Tamandua tetradactyla: one gene and its partners. The protein of the gene in region 3 interacts with the protein of the main gene of each other region in a biochemical or structural test. Links are inferred from orthologs where the notes say so. Each region holds a gene or a part of one and is shown on either strand. Other genes may lie near its edges.

Region 1 (7,436 bases), on a different chromosome or scaffold from region 3:
AAAAAAAAAAAAGAAAGAAAAAAAAGAAGACGACGACTTGCAGTAACCGAACACGTGAATACACCAATGAGTCAAGACCTCCATTTCCAAATATTTGGGAGAGGCGGGAATAAACACCAAAAGGACCAGGCCTGAATTGGCAGGCCAGGAACTATTAAAAGAGCCAGCTGTGACAAAATGTTGTGTCATAATGTTGTCCACTGCTTTGGCAAGACTTGATATATTACAAGGAAAACATTGCCACACTGTCTGGCCAGTGACCCACATGCAAAGTGTCTTGTGAGGGGCACAGACCATAGAGTCTTGAGAATTATCAGAGCACAGAGGTGGTTCGATAATCAGATGCTTCTTAAAAGGTACACTTTAAATCTCCATGTTAAGACATGCCGGGTAACTTTATTTGGACAAAGTTTCTTCTAGCTGCTCAGCTTCTGGTTGAATTATGAATCCCCTCATCTGAAGAAAACTTTGGAACTCAAATATGTAATCATCTTTTTATTTTTATTTTTTTCTCTCTATTATCGTTTTATTTTTTTCTGTTGTCTTTCTATTTCTTTTTCTGAATCGATGCAAATGTACTAAGAAATGATGAATATGCATCTATGTGATGATATTAAGAATTACTGATTGTATATGTAGAATGGAATGACTTCTAAATGTTGTGTTAATTTTTTTAATTAATAAAAAAATAAAAAATAAATAAAAATAAATAAATTTGGTATCAGCACGCCACTGAAACGTTATATCTGTAAGGCATTCTACTGCTTTTCGTAGTCCCAGATGACACTGCCTGCTGCCCAAATTCTATAAAATTAAATAGCCGAGAGAACGGAGACAAAGCCTGACACTCACTAAGGTTTTACTTATCGGGTTTACATTTTTAAAACTTTCAGCTTTATCCATCAGTGACAAATGCAGCAATATTGCATCAGCTGATGTTTGAACACCAGGTGATGTTTAAATGATAAGTGCCATGTCATAATGAAAAAAAACAAAACAAAGACCAAAAAAACCACTCTCTTCACTCTCTGTGAAGAATAGCGCGTTACCAGAAAAAAAACAGAGAGTGACGCTGATAGGCTGGCGAGGAATTGTGGTCAGTTTTGTAATCAGGAAAAAGCTGGCTTCTTGCTCAAGGCCTTTGCCCTTTTTGGCAAGGAGAAATGCTAGCTGTGCCAAATGCCTAATGTGGGAGCAGGCCTTTTCTTGTCACATAAGTGGCCCTAATAAAACTGCAGTGACTTGTGGACTTAAAAAGATACCCCCACGTACGGCAGAAAATCAGATGGCAATAACCCTGTTATACTTACCCCAATTTTCCCCACATGGAATATATATATAGTTCATCTACATTCAGTTTCTCAGGTTAAAGCAAGTTTCTTGACAGTCCAAATGGCTGAGGCATTTCTAGTTGTGTAGAACTAGTTTTAGCCATATTCAGTGTGAATTCTAAATAAACACCTTGCTCCTTCCCTCTCAATGCTGGGAAATTTATTTATGTTACAAAGTAATCCCGACACGATGACATAATATTTGAGGGTGTGGTTCAGTGTAAGATTCTTGATTGGATTTTGGGTGAATCAAAGTAAATTATTAAAGTCAAGGGTGCTTTCGTTCTTTCTAATAAAACCGAACAAAAATTAAAGTGTCATTCTGCCTACAAATACTCCTCCTCAAGGTTCCAAGATGTGTTTGTGTCTGGTAGGCAAATTACAGCCGTATTTACTATTAAATGGCAGTATACAAACCAAGCAATATACAAAGCAACCCAAGCCACTCACAAAATGTCGATACAATGCAGACTATCTGATCAAATTTCATATTAAATTTCATTATAATATTTTGTCTTACAATACTGTAGAGTGAGTTTACTTCAAACACAATTTGCTCACATAGGAAAAAAATGGACCAAAATCAACTGGGCCAAATAAATTGAGTAAAATCCATTTCCATCTAATTACAGACTTGTTGGGTTCTTAGACACTGAAAAGATTTATTTTACATCTATCCATCACTTGTTCATTCAACATTTGTCAAATGCCTACTAAATTCCAGGTATTATTCTAGGCATAGAAAATAAATACATTAATAAGCCAAGGTTCCTGTTCTCAATGAGTTCATATTTCAGTGTATTTATTAAAGTTATCCCAAATACACCTACAAGAGTGATCTCTTAACTGATTTTAACTTCTGAATGCCAATTATCATGCATATATATCAGAAATAGTATATTTGCTTAAACAAAGTCTTTCTTATTGGTGGACAGCGTGTGGTCACCAGAAAATTCATGAGATTACACATGCATGTGAGTATTTCTACCATTATAGTTTCAGCTTTCCCAGCATCCAATTCTTTATAATAAAAAAACCTGAAGATATTATAAGATGCTTTAAAAAATGATTTCATTGGAATGGAATCATGGAGGTTTCCACCTAACCAAGGAAACCTCTATATAGAAGTCTACTGCTATTCTGTACAGAAGCCCCTAGAAGGAGAGTCCTTGGTAATTTTATGGAGTAAGGAGTGGTGGTAAAAGAGCCACCTTCCTTAGGCACCATGCACAAAAGCTAACTCAATTCCTTCTACTGAGGGATGTAGGGCTCTGCATGATCTAGAGGTTGGGAAGGCAGCTCTTCATGAACTTCTGGATATCTATAATGTATGTGGTTATGTGTATACTACCAAACCGGCAGGAGGAGATAGAATGGGGATAATCAGGAATGACTATTCATGAAGAGGGTGAAAAGTTTATTTAACTCTATCCTGGTTCATGAGTGTGGAAAACACTTGACAGTCTAGTGTTAGACTGAGATGAGACAGCTACTCTTTGATATTTAGTCTTCAATATTACTTTATGGAATCTGTCTTTGACCAAAAGGAAATAAATAATACTCAGTCCCCCAAAACAAACTCCTCCAATTCAGTACCTTTAGGAGAAGGCACCTAGACTAATAAAAGTGAATGATTTGGGGGGTGTGAGGGTAGCTCAGTAGTAGAATTCTCAGCTGCCAAGCAGGAGACCCACGTTTGATTCCCAGCCCATGCACTTCCCAAACAAACACAGAAACCAACAAAAACAACAAACAAACAAAAAATTCAACAAAAATTCAACGGGATACTCACATGGGAAAAGAATGAAATGTGACCCCACTGTACAGTATACAAATAAAAATCATTTAAAAAAATGAATGATTTTTTATTAAAAAGGCAGAGAAAGCCTAAAAAAAACCCATAGTTAACAGAATCACTGTATTTTATCTGTACGAAGTTCTCCCCCCCCCCCAAGTATTGTACAGTGTTTGGCATGATTTAAGTCAAAGATCACCATGAAACAGGATCTATATACTTTTATGTTGGGTTATTCTTGAAAGCTAATTAAAATTTTGCTTTTTAGCTACAACTTAAATTTGGATTTTATCCTCTAGATTGGATTTTAAAAACTGCTTTCAAAGCTCTCTTTTTCTTACATGTAAACTTTGGATGGATCGGTATATAATATTACCTAGAGTCTTATTTTCTTTTGCTATCAACCCATTTTCAAAAGTTGCTCCATTAGTGAGTGTTACTAAAACTTAGGCTCCTCCTAAAAGTTTAGGAGCTCCTTGAAAGAACAGCATCTTGCTCCTCTCTGTATCTCTGAAGTCTAGCCCAGTGTCCCTAGTTGGCATAAAAATACATGTTTATTGTTTTTATTGATGTGAATGATGACAGGGCAGCTGCTTGCCACATTCCTCTCACATGGATTATTCAAGGAGGAGCTGAGAGAGCTAATGGACCAATAACAGCATCAATCTTCTTGCTCGGACAAGACTTGAATTTCCCTGTGGTGCTCTCTCTGGAGGAAGTGAGATAATTGCTAACGACCAGCATGACTGCTGCAGCACATGCCTCCCCTTACCCAAAAGAAGTGCTGCATTTTTCAAGTGCAATTAAAGTTGGCTTGGAACCTTGTCTTCTGCTGGTGGTTGCATCAGTTCAGGGTTTCTTCGGAGTCAAAGGGCAGACAACATGGGAAGAATGATGTGCCAATGGGACACATGCCTTTTAGTGGAACAAATAATCTGTCTTCTTAGAAGTAAATTCCACCACCACCCACCCAGCAAGCTGAGTCTTCCCACAGAAAGACAGGGGATGGCCAGTACCAAAACAGACACGTCTCATTTGCTTTTGTCTTTTTTGGTAGAGAAATTCATTCTTCTTTAATCACGAACTCTAATTTGGTTTCAGAATTTTAAAAAGAAACGTATTTTCGATACAAGATTAATATTTTAAACCACTATGCCATCTTGATTTTCAATACTAACAGAATGAAACTACGTTACCTTGAAACCAACAGTTTCAGTTGGTGTGTGTGTATATATATATATATATATTTTTTTTCTTCAGTTGGTGTATAATTGATCTTCAAAATCCTGATTCAGATTCTAAAGTCCTAAAGCTTTTACCTGGGCTCAGCCACAAATCTGCTGGGTCCTTTCGCTGGTCCACACGTCTCACCTATAGTGTAGTCCATCGATAGTTGGTCCAGATGTCTCACCTTTCTGCAAAATGGATTAATCCTTAAAGCCCACTGGGGTCTGACATTGAGATGCCTACAATTATTTTACTGGAAGTTGAATAGGTATTCTGTATATTATATTCTTACTCATGTTTGAATTCTGAGTTTTCCTTTTCATATCTGACTGGTAATTAGGGGACAGTATAAAAGGTACTTTTGTCTGGAAAAATAATGCCCAATAGTAAAACTCTCAAAAAGAAAAATCAGTTGAGAATTTCCTTTTTTTCCCCCCCATTGCCTATAGTACCTGAAAAAGAGCCTAACGTGTCTGACCACTTCTAGGGATCAATTAAAAACTTTTCAAATTATTGTATCTTTGAACCAAAGAAGTCCACCTAAAATATGCTGACTTGTCTTTGCAGGTAATTTTTAAAATTCTCTAGTAATTGGGTTTCCATAGGCTATATTTTCAACCGACCCATAGGTATGTTACGGGAAATGCGAAACCTCTAAAATAGCTAGCTATCTTCTTTGGTTTTCAGATTTTATCAATTAATTTTTCCAGATTGGTTATATAGAGATTTCCTGGGTAACCTATCCAGTCATTGGTGAGCCACGTCTGTAAGGGATGTAACCCACAGATATCCTACGAGCAAGCTTGGTGTGCTTTATGTAAAGTAAGCAGTTTCCCCGTTCTGTGATCCTGCTAAAGGAAACCGACTATTGAAATCTCAGACTCACAAAGCTTAATACCAGGAAGGTTACACATATTCGCTCTTAGTTTTTCATGGAGGGAAAAATGGGTTCCAGAGAAATTCAATCAGTTTGCCCGACGTTATGACCCAGATAGAGAATAGCCGAGTTTGAGCCAGAAATCAGGTTTCTTGATTCCAGTCCAAAGCTCTACACTGTGCTCTCCCTCATTAAATTATTACAATGAAACGTTCACAGGAATTGTTCCTATCAGGGATCCTGAATGCCAACAAACATGTAAGAAGTTCATCGGCATAAAACCATTTGTATTATATGACTCAATAGGGACGCATGACCCACAAAAATATGAACGGTCACCCCGCAGTTCAAGGTCAGTGAGTTAGGATTTGGTAATATTTTTATTTTGCTAATAAATGCCCTTTACTTCATTCCTATGTTCTTCATAAGCCATCATAGAATCTTGGGGATCTTTTGGTACCAACAGCTTTCTACTGACACAGTTCCTTGGCCTTATGAAAATAATAGCATTATTATGTGAAAATGTCCACTTTGAGGTAACAATGCCCCAATTTAAAAATACCTTAGATGGTGACTGCATGATAATTCTGTATTTTTGACATGATTTTTCTTTAAACCCATGACTTCTCAAAAAAAATAAATGAGACATAACAAACCAAAAATACCTTGCCTGTATATTATTTAATTCAGCTGATACAACAATGTTAGGAGATTACTGAAAGCAAAACAAGAAAATAATAGCAGCTATTGAATAGGGCTGCAGCATGGAATAGATGATTTTTTTGGCTGTAAAACTCTGCCCATAGGTCTTTGGTCAGTATGGCAAAAAGAGTCAAATAGACCTGGATTGAATTCAAGCTCTGTCACCTACTTTGGACTTTTAGTTTGGGTTTTTTCATCTAAGAGAGTAATTATGAGACTTAGAGGATATGATTTAAATAAATCAGTGCCTGCAACAGAGTAGGTCTCAAAATTAACATACTATGAATTCTTCCAAGCAAAATTTAAATTTGACTGGACTAATAAAAAATCAATCCAATGGCACTTAATTAAGAAAATAACAAAAAGAGCAGTCACCAAGTAACCCTCCCATTACTTTTGTGTTCAAATGAGCTACATAAATAATTTTCAGGCAGGTAGGGTATACAAGTAGCATATGGAATCTTCAAAAACAAATATGAATTTTAAAAGTCCACTCAGAAGAAATAGACACATTCAAGCCACAGCTGTAGTCAAAGACATTTGATATAGAATAAAATATATCTGTGAAATTCATACATAAAACTGAATTTTAATGAAAATTAAACAATGGGTAGTACGGAAAATATTTTTGGGTCTATTTTCCATTAAGGGTCATCAATCCATCAATAGTAGATTGGGCCAAACTAAATGTTTACTGTCTTCGTTAGATGCATATTATCAAAATAACAGCATTATATTTCCACTCCCCAGAGCATTATAAAATCGGTTCCATTCTAGGGCTCTACATTCTGATCTATAGACTCTGTCTTAAAACATTAGTGAAAATTAGCAGACTGATAAATATAAACTAGCTTTAAGACTCAAATTTCACATTTATTGAGCACCTACTCTGTCAGGCGCTCTGCTAAGTGTTTTAAACTAGAACATCTTATTTTGACCATAAAAACGACATGGGCTTGACAGGTAGCTCCCTCTTTTTTGCAGAAAGGAAAAGGGTGAGGCCAATGTCAGGATTAGATAATTGGGCTATTACAGACCAAGCAATAGACACAAGTGTCATATAACCAGGGATACAAAGATGAGTAAGACTGGGTCTCAATTCTCAAGTCACTTTCCTCTTTTTAGTGAAGAGGAGTAAGACAAGTATAAATCACAGTACTGCAAGAGAAAGTAGGTGAGACTTGAGACAAGGACAAATCATAATGACCAAGTTATTGTAGTACCTTTTCTTTGTGTCAAGCCTCATGTAATATAGTACCACCAATTTTTATCCCTTATCTCTAGTCTTCATAACAACCTTGTGAAATAGGTGAGTATCATTAGTTTACAGATGAGGAAACTGAGCCTCAAAGAATTTAAGTTATTTGCTGAGGTCACATAGCTAAAAAGTGGCAGGAAGAGATTTAAACCAGATGCAACTAAGTACCAAAGAGGTTGTAGAAAGGACAGGTCCCTGCTAATGGAGAGTAGGGATGGAAGGAATCTGAAAAGACTTCAGGGAAGA
Region 2 (7,589 bases), on a different chromosome or scaffold from region 3:
TTCCTTCTCAGCTCTGATAGTGGCTGTGTTCTCACCTCTGCTTCCCTAGCCCTGAGCCCCAACTTCCTCATCTTGTTGGCTTGACTGGCGGGGGAATGGATCTGGCTGGAGAAGAGGGGACAGCAAGGCAGAATAACATGGCAACATCTGGAGCAATGGCAGAAAAGGAGCTTGATCAAAGTGGGGGTGGGATGGGGGAAAAGGCTGTGAGGCCCAGGGATTTGGGATATCCAAGGGAAAGGAAACACTTTAGGCTAGTAGAGAAAAGAACCAAGTGTCTAGCCCCAAAAGCCCAAGAAAGATTGAAATACTTGGCAAGCATACAAGGCACAGAGGGTTTCATTTACTTTCATTCCATCGGAAAACTGCCATTACCCTCCCCTAACAGGAACATCTTTCTTTAGAAGCTTGCCTGGGTCTCACCACTATAGGAAGTTAATTGGCAGCAGGTGGAGGGAAGAGAAAACGAGTCCATCCCACACACTTATATACACAGCTGGCTCCAAACCATTTTCCTTCCCCCATCAGTTCCCAAATCCAAATCACAGCTTTCCAGCTATCTGGGAGAAAAGATGAGGGTGGAGGGGCCTAAAAGGTGGCTCCATCTCAAGGACAGCCCCTGAATTCCCCACAATTCCCTGTCCCTGACTTCCCACAAGAAGTCCAGAAAGAGACTGGCCAGGACAGTGAAAGGCAGAATTTGAACTAATCATGAATTGTTTCCTCTCTAACACCCTGGAGGACACCTTCTCCCTCCACGCCCCCAGCACACAGGGGGAGAGTGATAGGGAAGGGGGGCCAGTCTGCTACTTTCTTTGCACCACCCCTCCCTCCAGGCCCTTGTAACTCTTCTTCTTAAACTCTGCCTCAACACCAAAGTGATTCATCTTCACCTTCAACTCTTGTAGCAGGGATGCAGACCCTGATGGAAATAGAGACCTCCCCGCCACTTCTTTCTTCTGCTGGCAAAGGGAAGGATAAGGGAGCTCTCTGGGAAAGCAAAAACAGAAGTTGGGAAAGTTTGGGGGATCCAATATCTGGAACATATTAAACACTCAAAAAATATGTTCAGTGAATGAATACAGGGGGATAAATCTGAAAGGCAGCCTTGAGAAATTATCTTCTTTTTCCACTTCTCACCTCAGCTAGGGAAAAAACAAGGCTCAGCAAGACCCAAATCCCTTCCCTGGGCACCTCTTCATGAGCCAGGACCAGGGTGCCTGATGGGACAAAGGTGATTGAAAGGGGGGAATTAAGTGTAAAGTTGTGACTTTCCTCTTGTCTGCGTGATTGCTTGCTAATTTCCCAGTCCTTCATCTTTGTTGGACCTTTGATTCTCAACTCCACATAACTGTTTCGACCTTTCCCTCTCCCTCTCCTCTCCATTTCCATCATCTCTTCTTGATTTGGAGAACACTAATGGAGAGAGACATCTGGGTTTGGGGTTCTCTTAGCTGATGGTGTCTCATTTCCAGAGCACCCCAATGAGTGGGGCTGTGTCTGTGGAGCCAAAGGGTATCTGCTGTACACCTCCTTACCACATGTTGACATCACCCAGAGCCTAAGAGGTTCAAGCGAGATGGGAAGGGGTGGAGGAGGGAAATCGCCAAGGCCAGGGCCACAGAGCTCGTTCCAGGGCTGACTGGCAGAGGGCCTGTCCCTGCTCCCCTAAACTGCTTGGGATGTGCAAGGCTTCTTGGCAGGGATGAGGACACTGTGTGCGGGCTTGGATGCCAGTTTTGGGGAGAAGCTTTGAGAAGGATATCTGGACCCCCTGGTTCCTAGGGGTGGGACCCTCAAGAAATCTTGGGGTGCTTCCTAGCAACAGCTGAAAGGAAGGGAGGGAGGAAAGAAGGGAGGAAGAGAGGGAGGAGTCTGGGCATGCTGTTTCAGTGGGAGCCCAGAGAACAGGCTGTTCCTGCTGCCTCCTTGGCAACCAAAATCTAAGAGGGAGGGGGCTGTCAGACAAATCCCCTTTGAGGGTCCCTATCTATTCTCACTCATTTTCCACCCTCCCTCTCTCCCCACAGACCCAGGGCTTGCTGTGAAGCGAAGTAGGGGGATGGGAGGGGATGGTGCCAATGGAGACCTGGTGTGAGGTTCATGGCCAGTAGAGAACAGGAGCTGGGACTGAACAGAATCTGAGAAGAGCTGGAAGCTTCAAGAAACTGGGAGTGGGTAAGAGAGTGGGGTTGGGAAGGGGGATAGTGCAACCAGGGGCAGGGGCTGTAAACCCAACCTGGGCTGGCTCCTGGCACCTGGCAAGATGCCTGCTTTGGAGGCAGTGTGTCCTTCACCTTGCCTTTGCCTAAGTCTGCCACCAGCCCATATTGGGAGCCAAGGAGAGAGAGAGAAGTAAGAAGAAAAGATGGGAATGGTGAGTTCTTTGTGTTTGAGTTCAAGATGCCCTACATTGCCCCTGAGATGGGGGGGGGGGGGCAAGGGGGAAAGGTAACTCAGGAATTGCTTCCTTTCTACAGCTCTGGCTCTAGGATTTAAAAATGTCTCCTTTACCCAACATCTTTAGGAACTGGCTCAAAGAGAGATGTGGTAAGCAAGCCAGGATGGAATAAAGACAAAGCCACAGCCCTTCTTCTTCTCCCTCTAGACCCCTTTATTCCACCCCTAAGCCCGATTACTGCTGGGGCCGCTTCACTGCCTCCTGGTCTGCCTGGTTCACTGCAGAGTATAAGTGTATCTCATGTGCTGGGATTCTCTCCCAAATCCTCAGGCAGCCCAATCCCAAGGGACAATTTCCATGCAGGGCAGAGCACTGCACCCTGAGGGTTGCACACTGCAGCCCAGCTCCCTAGGGTTTCAACCAAACCTGAACTTGGAGGAGGTGGCAGCAACTGGCAGACAGCCACCCTCAGTGCGCCTCACACTGCACACTGCAATTCCACTGCATGCTGACTCTGCATTGCAGCCTCCTGCCCCACACTGCAGCTTCTGCATACCCACTGGAAGTCCAGATGGAACCCACAGGTTCACTAATGGTGTGCTGACAGCACATTGCAGCCTAATTCTTCACTGCAGCTGCCACATTGCACACTGCAGGTCCCCTTTGCCCATTGTACTCCCGCCATCAACACCACCCCCACTATGTACTCCATGGATTTCATCTCAGCTGCTTTTCTCAACCCTGTGGACCTGGGAGCCACAAGAGTGGCCCCACCCCCATGCATTGCAGACCCCAATAGCCCTGGTAAGAGGAATAGTTCCAACAGAGCTAGGGGTACCAGGGGCTGAGACTAAGATGTGCAAAGGTGGCCCCACCTCACTGGGTTGTTGGTCAAAGCCCCACACCTCAGCATGTGATTCTGCCCAATAAACAGAGCTGCTGCCCCTAATACACACACACAAACTCCCCGAGAGCAGACTGTGGAGAAAGGGCCCCGCCCTGGGAGCTGTGGGATGGCTGTGGCCCCCGCTGGTAAAACTGGGCTAATGACAGCAGGGGAACCGGCGGGGCCAGGGTGGGTGCTGGGGTAATTAGAGCTCTGCCGAGCTCTGGGAGATCCTGACATGAAAGGGGCTCTGGCGTCACCGGGATGGTCCTTAAGGCAAGTGTCTGTGTGTGTGTGTGTGTGTGCATCTATGGGGGGTGGGGCTGGCACGATAGAGACCTCCCTTCTGGAAAAGGGGGTCCATGTTTATATAGCCCACCCTCCTTTTATACTCGCTTGGTACCATTTGGATTTTGTTGGGGGCAAACATGGGAGGAAATACCACCCCTGTCAAGCTGGGAGTTCAGGTGTATGGCAAGTCTGGCCCCCTCCTGGAGCTCAACCTGTGGGGAGGTGGGGAGGCATTGCGGATTGTCGGGGGGGGGGGGGGGGGAAGGCTGATGACAATGAATAAAAATATATAATGGAGGAGGGTGACATTTGAAAGGGGAACCAGCAGATCCCGTAATGATGTTAGAAATGGGAGGGGAGGAGAACATGGGGAATGTAGTGATAATCCCCAAAAAGATTGAGAGCAGGATGACTTAAGTTAAATGGACATCAGGAGTCACCTGCCCATTCCTTTCATTTTAAGGTGCAGGAAGCTGAGAGCGGTGGTGATTTATTCAAGGTCACACAGTGAGTTACTGGCAGAGAAGGGACCCGAACTCCGAAACAAACTCTGAACCTCTAAGCGTTTAGCTTATAAGCTCCGACTTATAACGCGCAGGTGGCACGTTAGTAACCCGCCCCCGTGCAAACCCTAAAACCCCCAAATCTCCCAGCAAAGGCTATTTTTAAAATAACATCTTCTCCCAAATATGTCAGCAAGTACCACTCCTCCCGGAGACGTCTGCTGTGTGTATGTGGAGGGGAGGCCCGAGCCTGAGAGGGGCGGGGGCGGGGGCAGGAGCGGCGGAGGGGCGGCCCGGCCGCTGGCCAGGGTCCCGGGGCGCGGCGGGGGGCGAGAGGCGGGGGCCGGCGGCGGCAAGGCGGCCTGCAGGGAGCAGCCGCGAGCTGGCCGGGCGCGCCGAGCCCGAGCCCCAGCCGGAGTGGGGCGGGGGAGGGAGGAGCCAGAGCGGCCGCCGCCTCTGCCGGAGGAGCCGCGGGGCCGCCACACTCGCCCCCCGCCCCCCCGCGCACACTCGCACTCACACCCGGGCGCAGGAGGCGGGCGGCCCGGGCCCCATCGGCCCCCCATGGACGCCCCCGGCACGGGGCGCTGAGACCCCCGCGTCGCTGCCCAACCCCGTCCAGCGCGCCACGCCGAGGTAAGGGGAGGGAGCCAGTGGGGGGGGCATTAATATGCAAATGTCTCGCGATTGATTATGCAAAGCCGCGGGGCTCTATAGCCAGCTCTGGGGCGGACTGGGGGCGCCCAGAGGGTACGCGCTGCCAGCCCTTGCCTTCCCCCGCGCGCGGGTGACCCTGTCACAGCCCGGGAGCATGCAACTTAACGCCCTGGGGAAGGGAGGTGTTGCTAGGAGGTCGGTGGGCCCCGGGGTTCGTCGGCGGAGATGGCGTCCGGGCCTCCCCCTCGAGGGCCCGCCCGGCCTCTGTCTGGCGGGTCTTCTGCGCATTCCCGGGCCGGGCCCCGCTGCCGGCCGGCCGGAGCTCCCCCGCCCGCCGCGCCGCGGTTTGTTTACGGTGCGCCGGAGGCCTGCCCCCCACCCCCCAACCCTAGCTTCCGAGGCTGAGTGGCTTTTGCAAAGCTGCCTCTGGCTGCGGAGGGCAGTATGGGTCCGGTGGGGGTGGGATGGGATGGGCTTGCACGGGCCCGGGGTGAGGGAAGTTACCCCCCACTCCGCCCGCCTCTCCAATTGAACATGGTTCTCTGGTTGCAACACTCCTATTTGCAAAAACGCGACGGGAGGGGGGAGCGTTGTGAGTGTGTGTGTGTGGTAGTGGGGTGTACTTGAGGGTCCCTATGAGATGGAGAGTTGCAAGCAGAGTGGCTAGAAAAGAGGGAGGAACGGACCTGTGTTGTGTTTCCCCTCCTTTCTTCCCCTCTCCGCCCTCCCCGCCCTGCAACGTGTCTCTGGTTGGTGCCCCTTCTCTTTCTGGGCCCTCCCTGGTTCAGTGTGAGCGGTAGCGGAGAGGGGGACGGATAATGGGGTACTGGAGAGAGCCATTAGCCTCATGAGTGGGGGAACATAGAAAGAAAGCCAGTGGAATGGGAGCCTGCCCCTCAATGCTGGCTGTGGCCCCAGGAGGGGGAGGGGATGAAGGGGGCTGTTGTCCAAGATGAGGGGGTAAGCGAGTGTGACATGCAAGCACAGAGATATGACCACAGACAGCCACATGCACACCCAGGGACACCCAGGCAGATTCAAGGACAGGAGCTGCTGGACACACCCACACCGGGACAAGGGAAGAGGCAGGCTGCTGCTGCATGGTAGAAGCTCAGAGGGCAGGACACACCCACGGGAGACCAAGAGCAGGGAAACTGATCCATGCACATACCCAGGCACAGAGTCACAGGGAGATGCTGTCACACTCAGGGGCAAGAGGGAGCCTCTGTAGCACCTCGCATGCATGCACGCACACAGAGCAACTGCACACAGCCACACAATTACAAAGACCCTGTCACTCACAGGCACACACGTGCTCGCATGAGCCCACTCATACAGACATCATCGCCTGCCGTGACAGTCGCTGACACTCAGTCAAACATAACTGCAGTTACACATCAACACATGTATACACAACTTAGCAACAAGTATTTTCCTGGACTCTCATGGTGTAGCTCTGAGTTTCTGTATACAAAAAAAAAAAACCTGATGTCAAGAAAATTAAATTTGCCCATGTGAAAAGACTTTTCTGCATAATGGTGCAAGGCATGCATTCATTATAACACATTCTGTCTCCATGGCTTGTCATACCATCCTGCTAAGTGTATGCTCCTTAACCTGCTCTGGGATCCCCCGTAGAGCCTGGCACAAAAGGTGCTCTGTAAACATTTGTTAATTGATTGACGCTGGGCACTCTAGACACAGGTGCACTCATTTGTACACAGTCCCACGGACCCTGGTGTCCATCGTTTCAGATCCACACTGACAGTGGTGTCCAGACAGCCCCAAATGCACACATTGTATATCGTGCATGTAGACAGGCACACACTTAGACGTATACACAATCACAGACTTTTTATCTGAAGCTTCCTCCTCTAGGCTCACCCTCTGAGTCCTAAGAGGATGGGCTTTTTTTTTTTTTAAGAGATGGAGAGAGCATCAACAGCAAAGAGAGTGGGAGCAGGGGGGTTCCAGAGGGCCGAGTTATGGGCCCCAAGCAATGTCCAGTGACTTCCCAGCTGGGATTATCCTGACTATTGGAAGAAGAGCTGTTTGGGGGAGAGCTGGCTCCTTGGGAGCGGCCTCATCCCCACCTTAAAAGCAAACTGGGGGTTCTAGCTGTCTCTGCCATGGGTTATTTGCTAGGGCCTTTCCTGGGGACAATCACTTAGTCCCATTTGAGTTCTGCCTCCTATCAAGAGTCTGGCCCCTTTTCCCACCTCTGCTCTCCTGTCCCGGCTTGGAAGCTCTCCTTAGGAAACGTGTGCTAGTGAGTATCTGGGTGAGCAATGTGTATTTTTGACTTGGAATTTCTCTCTGACTCTGTCTCTCTGTGGCTGTCTTGCTGTGTCTGACTCTCCCTCTCTCTCTCCTTGTTTCTATGCTGGTCTGTAACTCTCTCTCCCCCTGTCTGACTACCCCTGTCCTTGTCTGCTTCTGCTACGGCCTCCTGTCTCAGAGCTGGACACTGGCGGTAATGGGCTTCATACTTTTCCAGTTGTTAATGCGCAAACTCCGCCCCACTGCCCCTCCCGCCCTGTCTCTGGGGTCAGCAAGAGGTTGGGGGGGGGTGCTTAGCTGGCTGCTCAGGACATCCTGCGCTTCCTTAGTGCTGCAGCTGCGGCCAGTGAGTTTTGGGGGCTGGGAATAGGGGAGGGCAGGGAAGGGGGTCATTTGCTGCCCATGCTGACCCCTCAGGCTGGCAGGCTCAGCCAGGGGACACCAGCTTTGTGGAAGCCCTTGGTGTGCAGGCTGCAGCTAGCTGGCTCCCAAAAAGCCATTGAGAGGTACCCCACCACACCGACCCCAGCTAGAAAACAATCGCCCCTATGGGTAGTGGCGGGAGTTGGCA
Region 3 (7,743 bases):
ACAAAGCAAAAAATGCATGAAAAATATTAAAAGCTCTGCACCATAACCCAGAGTTATCATTTATTTTGACATTTCTAGTCCTGTTTTAATTATTCATTTTAGTATTTTATAACAAAGTGTAAATGTGCTGTAGTTTTTAAGTTAAAAGTCTATTTTTTAAGTTAAAAAGTCTATGTACTACAATACTACAGGAGTACTTTTTCCTATTAAATCTTTTCTATAATCAGGGAAGAGACTGCCTTTGAAGAAAACTTACAAGGTTTTGAAGTGGCAGAGCAGAATAAATTATATTGTAGTGTTTACTCACTTCTACAATTTGCAAATATTAAAGAAAGGTAAACATTCTTTATTTTTCAAAAGTATTCTCTGAAGAAATTTATATTGCAGGCCTTCCTTAATGAAATTCTTGGGGTTAAACTGTTAGTTTTCAAGGTTTCTCCTTGAGAGGAGGTAGGGAAAATCACAGATATTAAGTAATCAAAGAAAGATTCTAAGAAACATTATTTTTTTTCTTTTTTAAAATCTATTACTGAACTTTAATTTACATGGACAGGAAAGCGTAAAGCTATAGATCTTTTTCTTTCCCCAAAAAATTACATTGAAGTGGGAGAATGTGAGTAATAGGCAATAAAGAGTTAAAGATCAATGATAATTAGATAACACCAAGGATGCCAGGCTCAAGCATGACATTTATGTACTGCTGCTTTCTGATGGAGGAGAGAAAAAAGAGGTGGGAAGATGAGCTCTTCCCTACTTGTACTCAATCAAACAAAAGGCTTCAACCAAAGAGCCCCTAGATACAGAAATGATTCTGAGTTTCTGTACCTGTTCACACTTAAGGAAACTAGTTCTTTCTTCTTCAAGAAGTCAGCATTGCTTTGAGATGGACAGGGAAGATGAGACTTTAGGAATCACTTCTCCCTACAAAACAGCCAGTGGAAAAGCAGAAACTATTAGCAACAACTGTCCTGGGGCTCCAGAAGCTAGCACTGTAGAGCATCCAGGGAAGACCGGGACGAAGAGAGTGAGAAACGATGGTAACAAACTGTGAGTAACTCACTCTGCGGCAGTTGTGGAAGCCCATCCCCCACTCTCAAGGTCAGCCACCTCGAGTGGGTCCCTCGCTGGCTGCTGCCATGGGTGACAGATGTGGAAGCCCTCATCCCCAGAACAGGGATAAGGCACAGACAAGTACTGATCACAGCTTCTGACTGGCAAATTTAGATCACGGAGTCCCAGCTCTGATGTTAGCCCACCTTGGGCAGACATCACTGTGGCCATTGTGTCAATGCCACAACAGGCAATGGTGATGGTGGTGGAGGTTTAAAGACACAGGGCTTCCTTAGCGCTGCTGGGAACAGTCTGTTGAAGCATGCCATCTTCTGGACAGGCCAAGAAAGTACAAATTAGGGGGGCTGTCAAAAAGTTTTGGGAGGGGTCTTTCCTGATCCTCTCTCCAAGGCTCTTTGGAAATATATAATCCCTTCCTGGGCTTCTGCCTCGATTTTACCTGAGAAATAATGATTTAGGAAAGTCCTCTCAGGAGGGACCCTCTTCCCAGAATTTGGCATCCACACAAAAGCAGCTAGAGGCAATGAAAGAAGAGTAAAAAGCAAATAAATGAATACAAAAATAAATAGGGAGATAAAACAAAACAAAAGCAAAAAGAATATATCAAGATCTCTGGAGAAAGAATAGGTGAAAGGGAGCTCTCTCCTGCGGGTGAAACAACTGCACAAATAGTGCAACCTTAAAAATAATGCCACATACCCAAGGCAAGAATCAGATGAAGAAGAGCTGAACACATCTGATCAGTTAAACACAGGAAATTCTAAAGGACTAGAATAAGTTGAACCATATGTCAAAGAAGAACATTAAAACAAAGCCAATCAACTGTAACAACCCAGGCAGTGCAAGAAATTGATCTTCACAGAAAGCTCATCAAGATAACCCGATGCCCAAACATCAGCAAAAAATCATAAGCCATTCTAGGAAACAGGAAGATATGGCCCTGTTAATTAGTTCCCAGTCAAAGGAACTAATTAAAACTTCAGAGGAAACAAAGAATACGGAACAAGTAATCTAAGATGTTCAAACAAATCCCCCAAATAAATTCAAGGAGATGAAGAAAAATACAAACAAAGAGGTAAAAGATATTAAAAGTCACAGGGTAACCATAATGAAGAATCTGAAATTATGAAAAGAAACATAAAACAAAATTAATGGGAATAAAAGGCCCAACAGAAGAGGTTTAAAATTCACTATAGGCATACAACATCAGATTTGAACAGGAAGAAGAAAGAATCAGTGAACTAGAAGACAGAACAATCAAAATCTTACCAAAAGAAGAACAGAGAAAGAAAAAAAAGGAAACAATTCAGCACTTTCTCAGGAATTGAATAACAGCACAAAGCATACAAATATATAAATTTTGGGTGTTCCAGAAGGAGACAAGAAGGGAAAAGGTACAGAAGGAGTATCTGAGGAAATAACAGCTGAAAATTTCCCAACTCTTAGGTAGGAAATAAACATATGTGTCCAAGAAGCACAATGTACTCCAAACAGAATAAATCTTAATAGACTTTCTTCTAGACACATACTAATCAGAATGTCAAATACCAAAGGTAAAGGGAGAATTCTTAAAGCTGCAAGAGAAAAGTAATCCATCTCACAGTGTTGATTTCTCATCAGAAATCATGGAGGCAAGGAAGTAGTGGTATGATATATTAAAGATAATGAAAGAGAAAAACTGCCAGCCAAGAAATCTTTATGTGGTAAAACTGTCCTTTGAAAATGAATGAAAGTTTAAAATACCCATAGATAAACAGAAACAGTCTGTCAATAAGAAATGTTGACAAACGTTTTCCCAAAACAACCTGTAGGGCAAGTATTTTTTCCTTACAATAGATACTAAAGGAAGTTGTTCTGCAGCCTGAAAGGAAAAACAGGAGAAAGAGGCTTGGAAGGAAAGTTTAAAATGTACAATTACCAGTATTGAAAATGGAAAGGATAAAAAAGAGAGAGAAAAATAAGATATGACATTATCATATCAAAGGATAAAACCAAAGAATAAAATGAAATACTGCCTTTATATTAATAAATTGAATGTTAACGGATTCAGCTACAAAATAAAAAGACAGATTGGCAGGTTGCATTAAAAAATATGACCTAGGTCCGGAGAAGATGGCGGCATAGTAAGACGCACGGGTCTTAGTTCCTCCTCGAGAACAGCTACTAAAGAAATAGAGACAGTACAGAACAGCTCCTGGAGCCACGACAGAGAACAGAAACACAGCGTACCCCATTCTGGAACGGCTGAACCGGCTAAGAGAATCCGCTGCGGTGAGGTCCCTGAGAGGTGTGCGCTTTTCCGGGCCGTGGCAACTGGCGGCCAGAGCCCCTCCCTCCCTCCTTCCCAGGCTGGCTGGGAGATTTGGATCGGAGGTCCCTCAAGCCACGGTGGCCGGCGCCCCCCACCACGCGCGGTTTCCCGGGCTGGCTGGGAGCTTTGGATAGGCACCCTCCCCAAGCTGCAGCGGCCAGTGCCACCCCCCACGCGCAGCTTCACGGGCCGGCTGGGACATTTGGATCAGAGGTCCCCCAAGCCACGGAGGCCAGCGACCGGAGCCCCTTACACACACGTGGCTTCCCAGGCCGGCTGGGAACTTTGGATCGGCACCCCCCCAAGCCGCAGCGGCCGGTGCCCCCACCCCCCACGCGCGGCTTCCCGGGCCTGCTAAGAGATTTGAATCAGCACTCCCCCAAGCCGCAGCGGCCGGCGCCCCCCCCCCACGCGCGGCTTCCCGGGCCGCCTGGGAGCTTTGGATCAGCACTCCCCCAAGCCACGACAGCCGGCGCCCCCCCCCCACATGTGGCTTCCTGTGCCGGCTGGGAGATATGGATAGTCACCCCCCCAAGCCGCGTCGGCTGGCGACCCTCCCCCACAGCGAGAGTCTTCCACAGCACCTTTTACTGGTGGGACCCACAGACAGACGAGCACCACATACTGGGCAGGATAAGAAAAACAGAGCCCAGAGACTTCACAGGAAAGTCTTTCAACCTGCTGGGTCCCACACCCAGGGAAATCTGATTAAATGCCCAGACGCCAGCAAAAAATAATGGATCACACCAGGAAAATTGAAGATATGGCCCAGTTAAAGGAACAAACCAATAGCTCAAATGAGATACAGGAGCTGAGACAACTAATTCTGAATATATGAACAGAAATGGAAAACCTCTTCAAAAACCAAATCAATAAATTGAGGGAGGACATGAAGAAGACATGGGCTGAACAAAAAGAAGAAATGGAAAGTCTGAAAAAACAAATCACAGAACTTACGGGATTGAAGGACAAAGTAGAAAAGATGGAAAAAACAATGGAAACGTACAATGGTAGATTTAAAGAGACAGAGGCTAGAATTAGTGAACTGGAGGATGGAACATCTGAATTCCAAAAAGAGAGAGAAACTATAGGGAAAAGAATGGAAAAATTTGAGCAGGGGATCAGGGAATTGAATGATAATAGGAAGCGCACAAATATACGTGTTGTGGGTGTCCCAGAAGGAGAAGAGAAGAGAAAAGGAGGAGAAAAACTAATGGAAGAAATTATCACTGAAAATTTCCCAACTCTTATGAAAGACCTAAAATTACAGATCCAAGAAGTGCAGCACACCCCAAAGAGAATAGACCCAAATAGGCGTTCTCCAAGACACTTACTAGTTAGAATGTCAGAGGTCAAAGAGAAAGAGAGGATCTAGAAAGCAGCAAGAGAAAAACAATCCATCACATACAAGGGAAACCCAATAAGACTATGTGTAGATTTCTCAGCAGAAACCATGGAAGCTAGAAGACAGTGGGATGATATATTTAAATTACTAAAAGAGAAAAACTGCCAACCAAGACTTCTATATCCAGGAAAATTGTCCTTCAAAAATGAGGGAGAAATTAAAACATTTTCAGACAAAAAGTCACTGAGAGAATTTGTGACCAAGAGGCCAGCTCTGCAAGAAATATTAGAGGGAGCACTAGAGTCAGATACAAAAAGACAGAAGAGAGAGGTATGGAGAAGAGTGTAGAAAGAAGGAAAATCAGATATGATATATATAACACAAAAGGCAAAATGGTAGAGGAAAATATTATCCAAACAGTAATAACACTAAATTTAATGGACTGAATTCCCCAATCAAAAGACATAGACTGGCAGAATGGATTAAAAAACAGGATCCTTCTATATGCTGTCTACAGGAAACACATCTTAGACCCAAAGATAAACATAGGTTGAAAGTGAAAGGTTGGGAAAAGATATTTCATGCAAATAACAACCAGAAAAGAGCAGGAGTAGCTATACTAATATCCAACAAGTTAGACTTCAAATGTAAAACAGTTAAAAGAGACAAAGAGGACACTATCTACTAATAAAAGGAACAATTAAACAAGAAGACATAACAATCTTAAATATTTCTGCACCGAACAGAATGCCCCAAAATACGTGAGAAATACACTGCAATCAGTGAAAAGGGAAATAGACACATCTACCATAATAGTTGGAGACTTCAATTCGCCACTCTCATCAATGGACAGAACATCTAGACAGGATCAGTAAAGAAATAGAGAATTTGAATATTACAATAAATGAGCTAGACTTAACAGACATTTATAGGACTTTACACCCCACAACAGCAGGATACACCTTTTTCTCAAGTGCTCATGGATCATTCTCAAAGATAGACCATATGCTGGGTCACAAAGCAAGCCTTAACAAATTTAAAAAGATTGAAATCATACACAACACTTTCTCCGATCATAAAGGAATGAAGTTGGAAATCAATAATAGGCGGAGTGCCAGAAAATTCACAAATACATGGAGGCTCAACAACACACTCTGCAACAACCAGTGGGTCAAGGAAGAAATTACAAAAGAAATTAGTAAATATCTCGAGGCAAATGAAAATGAAAACACAACATATCAAAACCTATGGGACGCAGCAAAGGCACTGCTAACAGGGAAATTTATTGCCCTAAATACCTATATCAGAAAAGAAGAAAAGGCAAAAATTCAGGAATTAACTGTCCACTTGGAAGAACTGGAGAAAGAACAGCAAACTAACCCCAAAGCAAGTAAAAGGAAAGAAATAACAAAGATTAGAGCAGAAATAAATGAAATTGAAAACATGAAAACATAGAGAAAATCAATAAGACCAGAAGTTGGTTCTATGAGAAAATCAATAAGATTGATGGGACCTTAGCAAGATTGACAAAAAGAAGAAGAGAGAGGACGCAAATAAATAAGATCAGAAATGGAAGAGGAGACATAACCACTGACCTCACAGAAATAAAGGAGGTAATAACAGGATACTATGAACAAGTTTACACTAATAAATACAACAATTTAGATGAAATGGACGGGTTCCTGGAAAGACATGAACAACCAACTTTGACTCAAGAAGAAATAGATGACCTCAACAAACCAATCACAAGTAAAGAAACTGAATCAGTCATTCAAAAGGTTCCCAAAAAGAAAAGTTCAGGACCCGACGGCTTCACATGTGAATTCTACCAAACATTCCAGAAAGAATTAGTACCAACTCTGCTCAAACTCTTCAAAAAAATCGAAGTGGAGGGAAAGCTACCTAATTCATTCTATGAAGCTCACCCTCATACCAAAACCAGGCAACGACATTACAAAAAAAGAAAACTACAGACCAATCTCTCTAATGAATATAGATGCAAAAATCCTCAACAAAATTCTAGCAAATCGAATCCAACAACACATTAAAAGAATTATACATCATGACCAAGTAGGATTCATCCCAGGTATGCAAGGATGGTTCAACATAAGAAAATCAATTAATGTAATACACCATATCAACAAATCAAAGCAGAAAAATCACATGATCATCTCAATTGATGCAGAGAAGGCATTTGACAAGATTCAACATCCTTTCCTGTTGAAAACACTTCAAAAGATAGGAATACAAGGGAACTTCCTTAAAATGATAGAGGGAATATATGAAAAACCCACAGCTAATATCATCCTCAATGGGGAAAAATTGAAAACTTTCCCCCTAAGATCAGGAACAAGACAAGGATGTCCATTATCACCACTATTATTCAACATCGTGTTGGAGGTTCTAGCCAGAGCAATTAGACAAGAAAAAGAAATACAAGGCATCAAAATTGGAAAGGAAGAAGTAAAACTATCACTGTTTGCAGATGATATGATACTATACGTCGAAAACCCGGAAAAATCCACAAAAAAACTACTAGAGCTAATAAATGAGTACAGCAAAGTAGCAGGTTACAAGATCAACATTCAAAAATCTGTAGCATTTCTATATATTAGCAATGAACAAGCTGAGGGGGAAATCAAGAAAGGAATTCCATTTACAATTGCAACTAAAAGAATAAAATACCTAGGAATAAATTTAACTAAAGAGACAAAAAACCTATACAAAGAAAACTACAAAAAAACTGTTAAAAGAAATCACAGAAGACTTAAATAGATGGAAGGGCATACCGTGTTCATGGATTGGAAGACTAAATATAGTTAAGATGTCAATCCTAACTAAATTGATTTACAGATTCAATGCAATACCAATCAAAATCCCAACAACTTATTTTTCGGAAATAGAAAAACCAATAAGCAAATTTATCTGGAAGGGCAGGGTGCCCCGAATTGCTAAAAGTATCTTGAGGGAAAAGAACGAAGCTGGAGGTCTCACGCTGCCGGACTTTAAGGCATAT
Region 4 (7,669 bases), on a different chromosome or scaffold from region 3:
TCACCGCTGCACTCCGACGGGATGGGCTCGTGGTCCGGGTGGCCTGGGGGAGAGGAGCGGCCTCGCTGGGGTCCTGGAGGCTTGTGTGGGTGCGAGGCACGCTGTACTCCTCTCCCGGCATGAGGAAGGGCTACCTTTGGCCTAGGGGGCAGGCAACCAGAGCTGGCATTTGAACCCCGGGCTGTGGGACTCCACTGTGTGGCTGCAGCTGGGGTGGCCTTGGCATTTGTACCTTTTAATGTTTGTTCATTGGTTGGTTTTACACTAAATCAGACATATCTTTGGCCTTTGAACACCACGGATAGAGGAAATGTTCAGCCATCTCCTCCCCACCCAGAGGACAGGTGACCCCACAATGGTGACCCCAGAAATGGATGTTTCCATTTGGCCATTGGGGAGCACTGGGTGGGCAGGCAGAGACTAGGCCAACAGCATCCCGGCAGGGCAGTGTTTGACCCACACTTCTCGGGCATGCGGGCGTTGGGGAGAATGGGACAAGGCTCTCGCTTCCTCCCCCAGAGCTTCCGGTGCACGGGAGAGACGGATGGTGCCGTGGGGAATGGAGCGACAAGTTAGGGAGCGGCCAAGAAGCGACTTAGATGGGAGCTCAGGCAAGGCCTCTCTGAGATGGGGTAGTAAGGAGGAGCGAGGAGGTGAAGGGCCAGTTTGCTTGATTCAGGCTGAGGAGCTGTTCTTGGCCTGGCCCAGGAATCTGAGGTGGAGTAAGGAGTTGGGGAGGACTTAGGCTTTTGCTCCAAGTGAGATGGGAGCCATGGAAGGTTCTGGGCAGAGGAAGGACGTGCCCTGACTCAGGTGCTCACAGGTGCCCTCTGGCTGCAGTGGGGGGAACAGCTTGTGGGGGTAGGAGATGAAAGCAGAGGCAGCTGCACTGGTCCAGGCACACAAGGTGATGGATGTTTGGGGTCAGGGTGCTGGCAGTGGAGGTAGAAGCAGCAGAGGGAGGCAGGTCACGGTGGAAGCAGGACTGCTTTGGGGTTGGATGAGGGAGGCCAAAGGAGAGAGGGAAGTGTGAGACAGGGCAAGATTAGGATGGCTCCCAAGGGAGCTGCCCTTTCCCGGGGTAGGGAGTCCTGGGGCAGAGGCAAGCTTGCGGGGATGAGACCACGGGATGCATCACCCCACCCGGTAGTACCCAAGAGCAGATGGAGACGTGAGTCTGGAGCTCCTGAGAGGGGTCAGTTCTGGAAACCCAGACTCAGCCACTCATCCACAGATGGACAGGAAGGGGCCTTGCCCAGGCTGGCCCCAGGCCTGGCACATTCTAATACTTTCCACCACAAGCCATTCTGCTTCACATACCAGCCTAGTGAATTTTTCCTTGGTGACTTTGGGAAAAAGTTATTTATTAATTTTTTTAAAATATGATATATAGTCATCTGTATTTCACTGTATTACAGTAAAACAGTAAATCTGTTTTCTAAATATCATGCTCCTTGAACACATACAAGGTAGGCTTTTTTTGTTGTTTTACTAAGGAGAGACTTTATCAAAAGGATTATTGTAAAGGGGGAAGGATAGACTTTAAAAAAAAATTTATTTATTAAAAAATTTAACAAACCAAATAAAACATTAACATATATAATCAGTAATTTACAATATCATCACTTAGTTGCATATTCATCATTTCTTAGAAAATTTGCATCAATTCAGAAAAAGAAATAAAAAGACAATAGAAAAAGAAATAAAACGTAAACAGAAAAGAAAAAAAAAAGATTATACTTACCATACCCCTTACCCCTCGCTTTCACTGATCACTAGCATTTCAAACTAAATTTATTTTAGCATTTGTTCCCCCTATTATTTATTTTTATTCCATATGTTCTGCTCGTTTGTTGATAAGGTAGATAAAAGGAGCATCAGACACAAGGTTTTCACAATCACACAGTCACATTATGAAAGCTATATCATTATACAATCATCCTCAAGAAACATGGCTATTGGCAGCCTCTCCATTACATCTTGAATAACAAGGTGATATCTACTTAATGTGTAAGAATAACCTCCAGGATAACCTCTCCACTCTGTTTGGAATCTCTCAGCCATTGACACTTTGTCTCATTTCACTCTTCCCCCTTTTGGTCCAGAAGGTTTTCTCTAAGTCTCAGCTCATTCTAGGGTTTTTCTCAATCCCATGATGCTGAGTCTCAGCTCATTCTAGGATTTCTGTCCCACGTTGGCAGGAAGGTCCACACCCCCTGGGAGTCATGTCCCATGTAGACAGGGGGAGGGTGGTGAGATTGCTTGTTGTATTGGCTGGAGAGAGAGACCACGTCTGAGCAACAAAAGAGGCTCTCTTGGGCGTGACTCTTAGTCCTAAATTTTAAGTAGACTTGACCTAGGAAGGATAGACTTTTGAGGGAGTTTGGAATGGGAAGGGAGAGGAGCTATCAGTAATAGATTTGTTCACTTAATGAACAGCACTTACAATGCACCAGGCTGCTGTATTTAATAAGAGGTGGGTACTAGCATTCTCCCCATTTTGTAGAAGGGGAAACTAAGGCCCAGAGGGGTTAAGTCACTGGGCTGAGGTCACACAGCCAAGAAGTGGTGGAGCTGGGATTTGAACTCAGGCCATCTGGTCCTGGGCTCAGGGCAGCGGGACTGAAGCCCAGAAGAGGGTGGAAGTTGGGGGGGAAGGCAAAGTGGGGGGTGGGGTGGGGGAGGCTCAGAAAGGGAGGGAAATCCGAGATCCTGAAACCTTTAGTCACCCTGTTCTCTCCCTCTTTTCTTTCTGGGATGAAGAAAATGACTATGGAAGATGACACAGCCACTTTGGAGGCCCACCCTGGCTCTGCCGCAGCCCCCGGCAGCTCTGGGCCCCGGAAGAGGCCCACGTCCACCTCGTCATTCCCTGAGCCCCCTGAGTTCAGCACTTTCCGGTCCTGCCAGTGAAGCCAAGGCTGGAGCCTCTGGAGTCTGAGCACCCTCCCTTCAGCCCTTCTCCCTCCAGCTGGCCCAGCCTGTTGGGGGCCTGAGGTCCCCACCGCCCTCAGCTCCTCTGGGGAGCTCAGGCTACTGCTTTCTCAGGGAATTGACCAGAGATGATGGGGCCCCCCCAGGCCTTGGCGCCTTCCTCATGGGGGGGCAGGGGCCTGGGCACTGGTCTGGAGGCTGGATGGAGCAGGAAGGCTCTCTCTGGATTTCCAACTTCTGAATACCACCAAGGAAGGAGACCGGAGGCCTGGGCTCTACACACATACACACATACCCCTCCACTTGGGCACTGGACTCCTGGGCTTTTGGAGCATAGGTACCTGGGTGTGCCCTGTGTGCCTGCCCTGCTGGCACGCCTAAGTTATTATAACACGTTTTGAGGTGTTTCCAAGGCCCCCTGTAGGATGTGATCCTTCCAGCCTGGGACCTTGCGGGTGGGTGTGGGGAGAGCATGAAGGGCCCAGGCGTGTGCGTGTGGCCTGGGCTGCTGTCAGGGTGGTGCACGCGGAGGGGTCTCCCTAAGGCGCTCGCACTGGTGGGGGCAAGAGAAGGAATGATGGGGCAGGGGTGGGGTGGGGTGGGGTGTAGGACAGGGGTGGATTGCGGCGAATGAGGAGTAAATGAGAAGGTGCGGGTAAGGGTGGGCGCTTCGGAGGATCGGAAGTGACTACAGGCCCCCTCGGACCTCCCCAAAAGGGGTGTGGCCGCCGAGCAGTGGAGGGGGCTCGGAAGGAGTGGGGGGGACGCTGGACCCACCCTGCGGGATGCCTCGTCATTGAGGGGGGAGGGTACCTGGGGAAAGGGAGAGGCCAGGGGACATATAGAGGTGGGAGTTGAGGTAATCTTTTTAGGGGGAAGGAGAAACTGAGAGGCCCGGAATGGAGAAAGGGGCTGTGGGGAGGGAACGGAGGTGATGCGGCAGCCCGGGGAGGAGGGGACGGGGTGCGGCCGGTGCTGGGAAGGGGGCGTCGGGACCCTGCGCCCACCCAAGCCCTTCTCAATCTTCTGTTCCAGCCGCCGGGCTGGAGGCGGGGCCACGGGCAGGGGGTGCGCCCCTAAACCCTGCGCCCGCTCCCCACTGCCGCCCTCCCGGAGCGCCTCAGGCCTCACAATGATGGGCGGAGCCCAAGCGCGGGGGCGTGTCCGGACCGCCCAGCCCCACCTCCGTCCAGCCCGCGCCGGGCGAGCCCCTTCACGAAGCGTGGCCGTTGGGGCGGGGCGGGGCGGGGCGGGGGCGTGTCCGCACGGGAGAGCCCCGCCCCCACCTCCCCGGGGCACCCACGCCACCGGACAAAGGGCGGCCGTTCCGGCGAGGCGGGGCCAAGCCTCGCGGGCGTGACGGCGCGGCTGAGCCTCCGCCCCGTGACGCACGCTCCCGCCCCGCTCCGAGCCACCTCACAAAGCGGCGACCGTCCGCGGTGGGCGGGGCCCGGTGCGCGTGCGTGAGGCCCGTCCCCTCCACCCCCACCCCGCGGCGTGCTCTCTCCTGGGCCCGGGGCCGCCGGCAGGGGGCGCTGCGCCACGGGGCCGGGCCGCGGCGGTGGCAGCGAGGCGGCGCGTGGCCGGCAGGCGGCGCTGCCCGGCTCGGCCTCGGCTTCGGCCTGCGCGGCGGCGGCGGCGGCGGCGGCGGCACCGGCGGCGGCGGCGGCGGCCTGGGCCCGGGCTCGGCGGCGGCGGCGGCGGCGGGGCCTGGAGCCGGATATAAGATGGCAGCGGCGGCGGCGGGGCCGGGCGCGGGCGGCGCGGGGGCGGTGGGCGCTGGCGGCGCGGGGCCCTGCGCGGCCATGTCCGTGTTTCCCGGCGCCCGCCTCCTCACCATCGGCGACGCGAACGGCGAGATCCAGCGGCACGCGGAGCAGCAGGCGCTGCGCCTCGAGGTGCGCGCCGGCCCGGACGCGGCGGGCATCGCCCTCTACAGCCGTGAGTGCGGGGCCGCCGGGGCCGGGCGATCGCGGGGGGCGGCGCACGAGGCCGGGCCCGCCGCGGGGGTCCCCGAGCCGGAGGGCCGGGCCGCGGTGCCGGGCCAGGGTTCCCCAGGGCGCGGGGCCTCGGGCCGTGAGGGCCTCGCGCCGGGGTGGGGTGCGGGGTCCCGAGCGGAGGGGTGTGGAGGTGGCCGGGGACGGGGAGAGCCCGAGGGCGTGCGCGGTGGCCCGAGGCGAGGTGCCCGGAGTGAGGAGGCAGGCGGGAAACGGGGGCGTGTGGGGGCCTGAGACTTGGGAGGGGGTGGGCAGGAAGCGGGGGCCCGAGAGTGGAAGGGGAATGGGGGGGCAGCTGGGCGGGTGGGGACTGGGGGGCAGAGGCGCGCCGCGGCGGTGGGAGAGGTGGGAGCCGCGGGGCCGGGTGTGGCCGCCTAAGGGGGCGGAGGGTGGGCTGGGGGGCGACCGGCCCTCTCAGGGGGCTCCGGGTGGGGGGCCTGCCGAAGACAGTTGGAAAATGTCTCGCACACTGGTTCCTGGAGCTCAGTTCCTGGGTTGGGGCATGACGTTCAGGATCGAGGAGGGGGAAACTCCTAGGTCCGGGGAGGGGGTCTCAGGAGGGGCTCCTGGTGGGAGTGTGCACCGGGAGGGCCCGTCCCAGATGGCAAGTAAGAGGTAAGGGGGCCTCCTCGCTCCCTGCGGTCCTCTTCTCTTCTCCTGGGGGTTGTGAGAAACTGGATACAATTTCAGAAGCCGGTTTCAGAACTGACATTTCAGTGGGGGCGGGAGGGGGGAACACAGCAAATCACAAAGGTGTTTGCCAAGGACCCTGAGTCTTTGTAGTTCATCCTTTTTCTTTCTCTTGTTACTTTCTTTTCTTCTCTGCCAGTCTTCCTTCAGGTTTTGCTATTCTGTTTCATTCTGCTTTGTCTGCCAGGGTCCTTTGGCCTGCATTGGTCTGTGTGACTTTATTGCCACTTTGGGGACCTAGTAGTCATTCCAGAGAGTGGTAGGCTCACACCGTGGCTTTGAAAAAGAAAAAACAGATCAAAGGAGCTGTGCCTGGTTCTCAGTTGTCACATCTATCTTCTCTTGGACAGGGCTGGGGTCTTCTTGAACCAGACGAGGAGAGGGGAGGAGAAGGTGTAGTTAGTGGGCATCGGAGCTCAGTTGGACAGACATTGGAGCTCCATTTTAACCTGGGCAGGATCCCCAGATCATAAGCAGATCCATTCATTGGGCAAGCACTTGTGGCTAACTCTGTCCTGAACAGAAAAAAGTAGGGCTGCCTTCCTCAAACTAGAGTCCCAGGACTTATCCACAAAAGGCTTACTGTCAAAGAGTCCCAGGAGAGTTTATCTTTCTTTTTTTAATACTTTTTTTTTAATATTAGAATGGTTTCAGATTTATAGAATAATTGGCAAGATAGCACAGAGCATCTTCTACAGCTGACATCTAATCACCTGGATTAGTGATATCTTACTCCTGGAGGGTTTCCTCATCTTGTGTTTTAGTCTTGTTGGTCCTTTTTAAAATGTTACTAGTTAGAAAGATAACACTTCTCTTTTAGAGATAATCCCTAGCTAAGAAGGCTTTTAAAGAGGAGAAAGTCTGTGTTTCTCAAACTGAGTTCCTTGGTTCAGGCTGATACCTTTTCATGGGGTTTGAAAGAAGCTTTTCCCTGTCCGTTCAAGCACCGTTGGTATGGAACAGAGAACCTGGGTTCAGAGTTGGCCACACCTGGGAGTGTTAGTTTCCTAGGGCCTTCAGGACAAGGTAATTCAGACTTGGTGGTTTAAAACAACTAAAACTGGTGGTTGTGGAGGCCAGAAGCCCAGGATGGAGGTGTTGGTGGGACCGTCCACCCCCCACCCCCTGCAGGTTACGGGGGGTCAGGGGTTCCTCCCTGGCTTTGTGCAGCTTCTGGGGGCTCCAGGCTTTGCTTGGCTTGTGGCCACTTCTCTCCATCGCTGCCACTGTCTTCCTATGGTCCTCTCTCCTGTTTCTCTGTACGCTCACCTCTTATAAGGACTACCGTCACTGGATTTAGGGCAGCCTCGTCTGGAAATCCTTCATTACATCTGCCAAGACCCATTTTCCAAATAAGGCCCCCTGCACAGGTTGTGGGGGTGAGGGCTTGGAGCTGCTTTTTTTGTGTGTGTGTAGGGGGGGCACCATTCAGTCTGCCCCATGTGTGAGACCCGTGTCTTGCCGTTTTTACTAATTGTGTAACTTTGTGCCTCACTTTCCTCATTGATAAGATGGAGCCGATGACGAGGTTGGGTGAGCCCATGTGTTTGCTCGATAAGCACATGCCTTTACTTTGGAAGTAGCATCTGGCCCCCTTCTGGGCTGTGATGGGCACGAAGTTGGCTGGGTTTCTGCATAGGGTGAGGTGGCACTCATCCCTGAGATGACAGAAGAGTACGGGACCCAGGGAAGAATTGCTCTGAAGTATGGCAGGACGGTTGCAAAGTCCCAGGGCTGGGGCACGGGGCCTGCATGTGGAGGATTGGAGAGCAGGCCCGGCCAGCTGGGCAGGGAGGGCAGGCTGATAGCCCTGGGAAAGCTCAGAGGTCGTCCAGCCCCTGGAGGCTGAGGCATCTGGGGTGGGGGGGGGCTATCACCCACCCCAGTCCTATGACTTGGGGGGTGAACCTGGCTTCGTGGAGCTTTAAGCCTTCTCTGGAGATGTACTTTTTTCCCCACTTCGCAGCATTTTCCCATCTGGATCCTCTGGCGCCATCGAAAAAGCACCAGGAGCCCTGTTGTGCACTCTCTGCCCATCGTGAGAATTC

Evidence for each region.
Region 1: the proteins of GRIP1 (region 3) and PPARG form a complex in vitro, tested with the Homo sapiens proteins (2 studies listed by BioGRID). The link is inferred for Tamandua tetradactyla from reciprocal best matches to the Homo sapiens genes GRIP1 and PPARG.
Region 2: the proteins of GRIP1 (region 3) and THRA form a complex in vitro, tested with the Homo sapiens proteins (2 studies listed by BioGRID). The link is inferred for Tamandua tetradactyla from reciprocal best matches to the Homo sapiens genes GRIP1 and THRA.
Region 4: the proteins of GRIP1 (region 3) and CARM1 form a complex in vitro, tested with the Homo sapiens proteins (2 studies listed by BioGRID). The link is inferred for Tamandua tetradactyla from reciprocal best matches to the Homo sapiens genes GRIP1 and CARM1.

What each region holds. Positions count from the first base shown.
Region 1 is NC_135335.1:36,552,229-36,559,664, forward strand, and holds the start of PPARG (peroxisome proliferator-activated receptor gamma), read right to left. Parts: upstream 3,009-7,436; 5' UTR 1-3,008. UniProt on the Homo sapiens protein: Nuclear receptor that binds peroxisome proliferators such as hypolipidemic drugs and fatty acids.
Region 2 is NC_135332.1:27,215,019-27,222,607, reverse strand, and holds the start of THRA (thyroid hormone receptor alpha), read left to right. Parts: upstream 1-4,587; 5' UTR 4,588-4,717; intron 4,718-7,589.
Region 3 is NC_135333.1:134,777,285-134,785,027, forward strand, and holds the start of GRIP1 (glutamate receptor-interacting protein 1), read right to left. Parts: upstream 3,016-7,743; 5' UTR 1,164-3,015; coding exon 1,061-1,163; intron 1-1,060. UniProt on the Homo sapiens protein: May play a role as a localized scaffold for the assembly of a multiprotein signaling complex and as mediator of the trafficking of its binding partners at specific subcellular location in neurons.
Region 4 is NC_135337.1:90,987,301-90,994,969, reverse strand, and holds the start of CARM1 (histone-arginine methyltransferase CARM1), read left to right. Parts: upstream 1-4,661; coding exon 4,662-4,875; intron 4,876-7,669. Other genes in the region: C11H19orf38 (protein HIDE1), read left to right, coding at 2,764-2,913. UniProt on the Homo sapiens protein: Methylates (mono- and asymmetric dimethylation) the guanidino nitrogens of arginyl residues in several proteins involved in DNA packaging, transcription regulation, pre-mRNA splicing, and mRNA stability.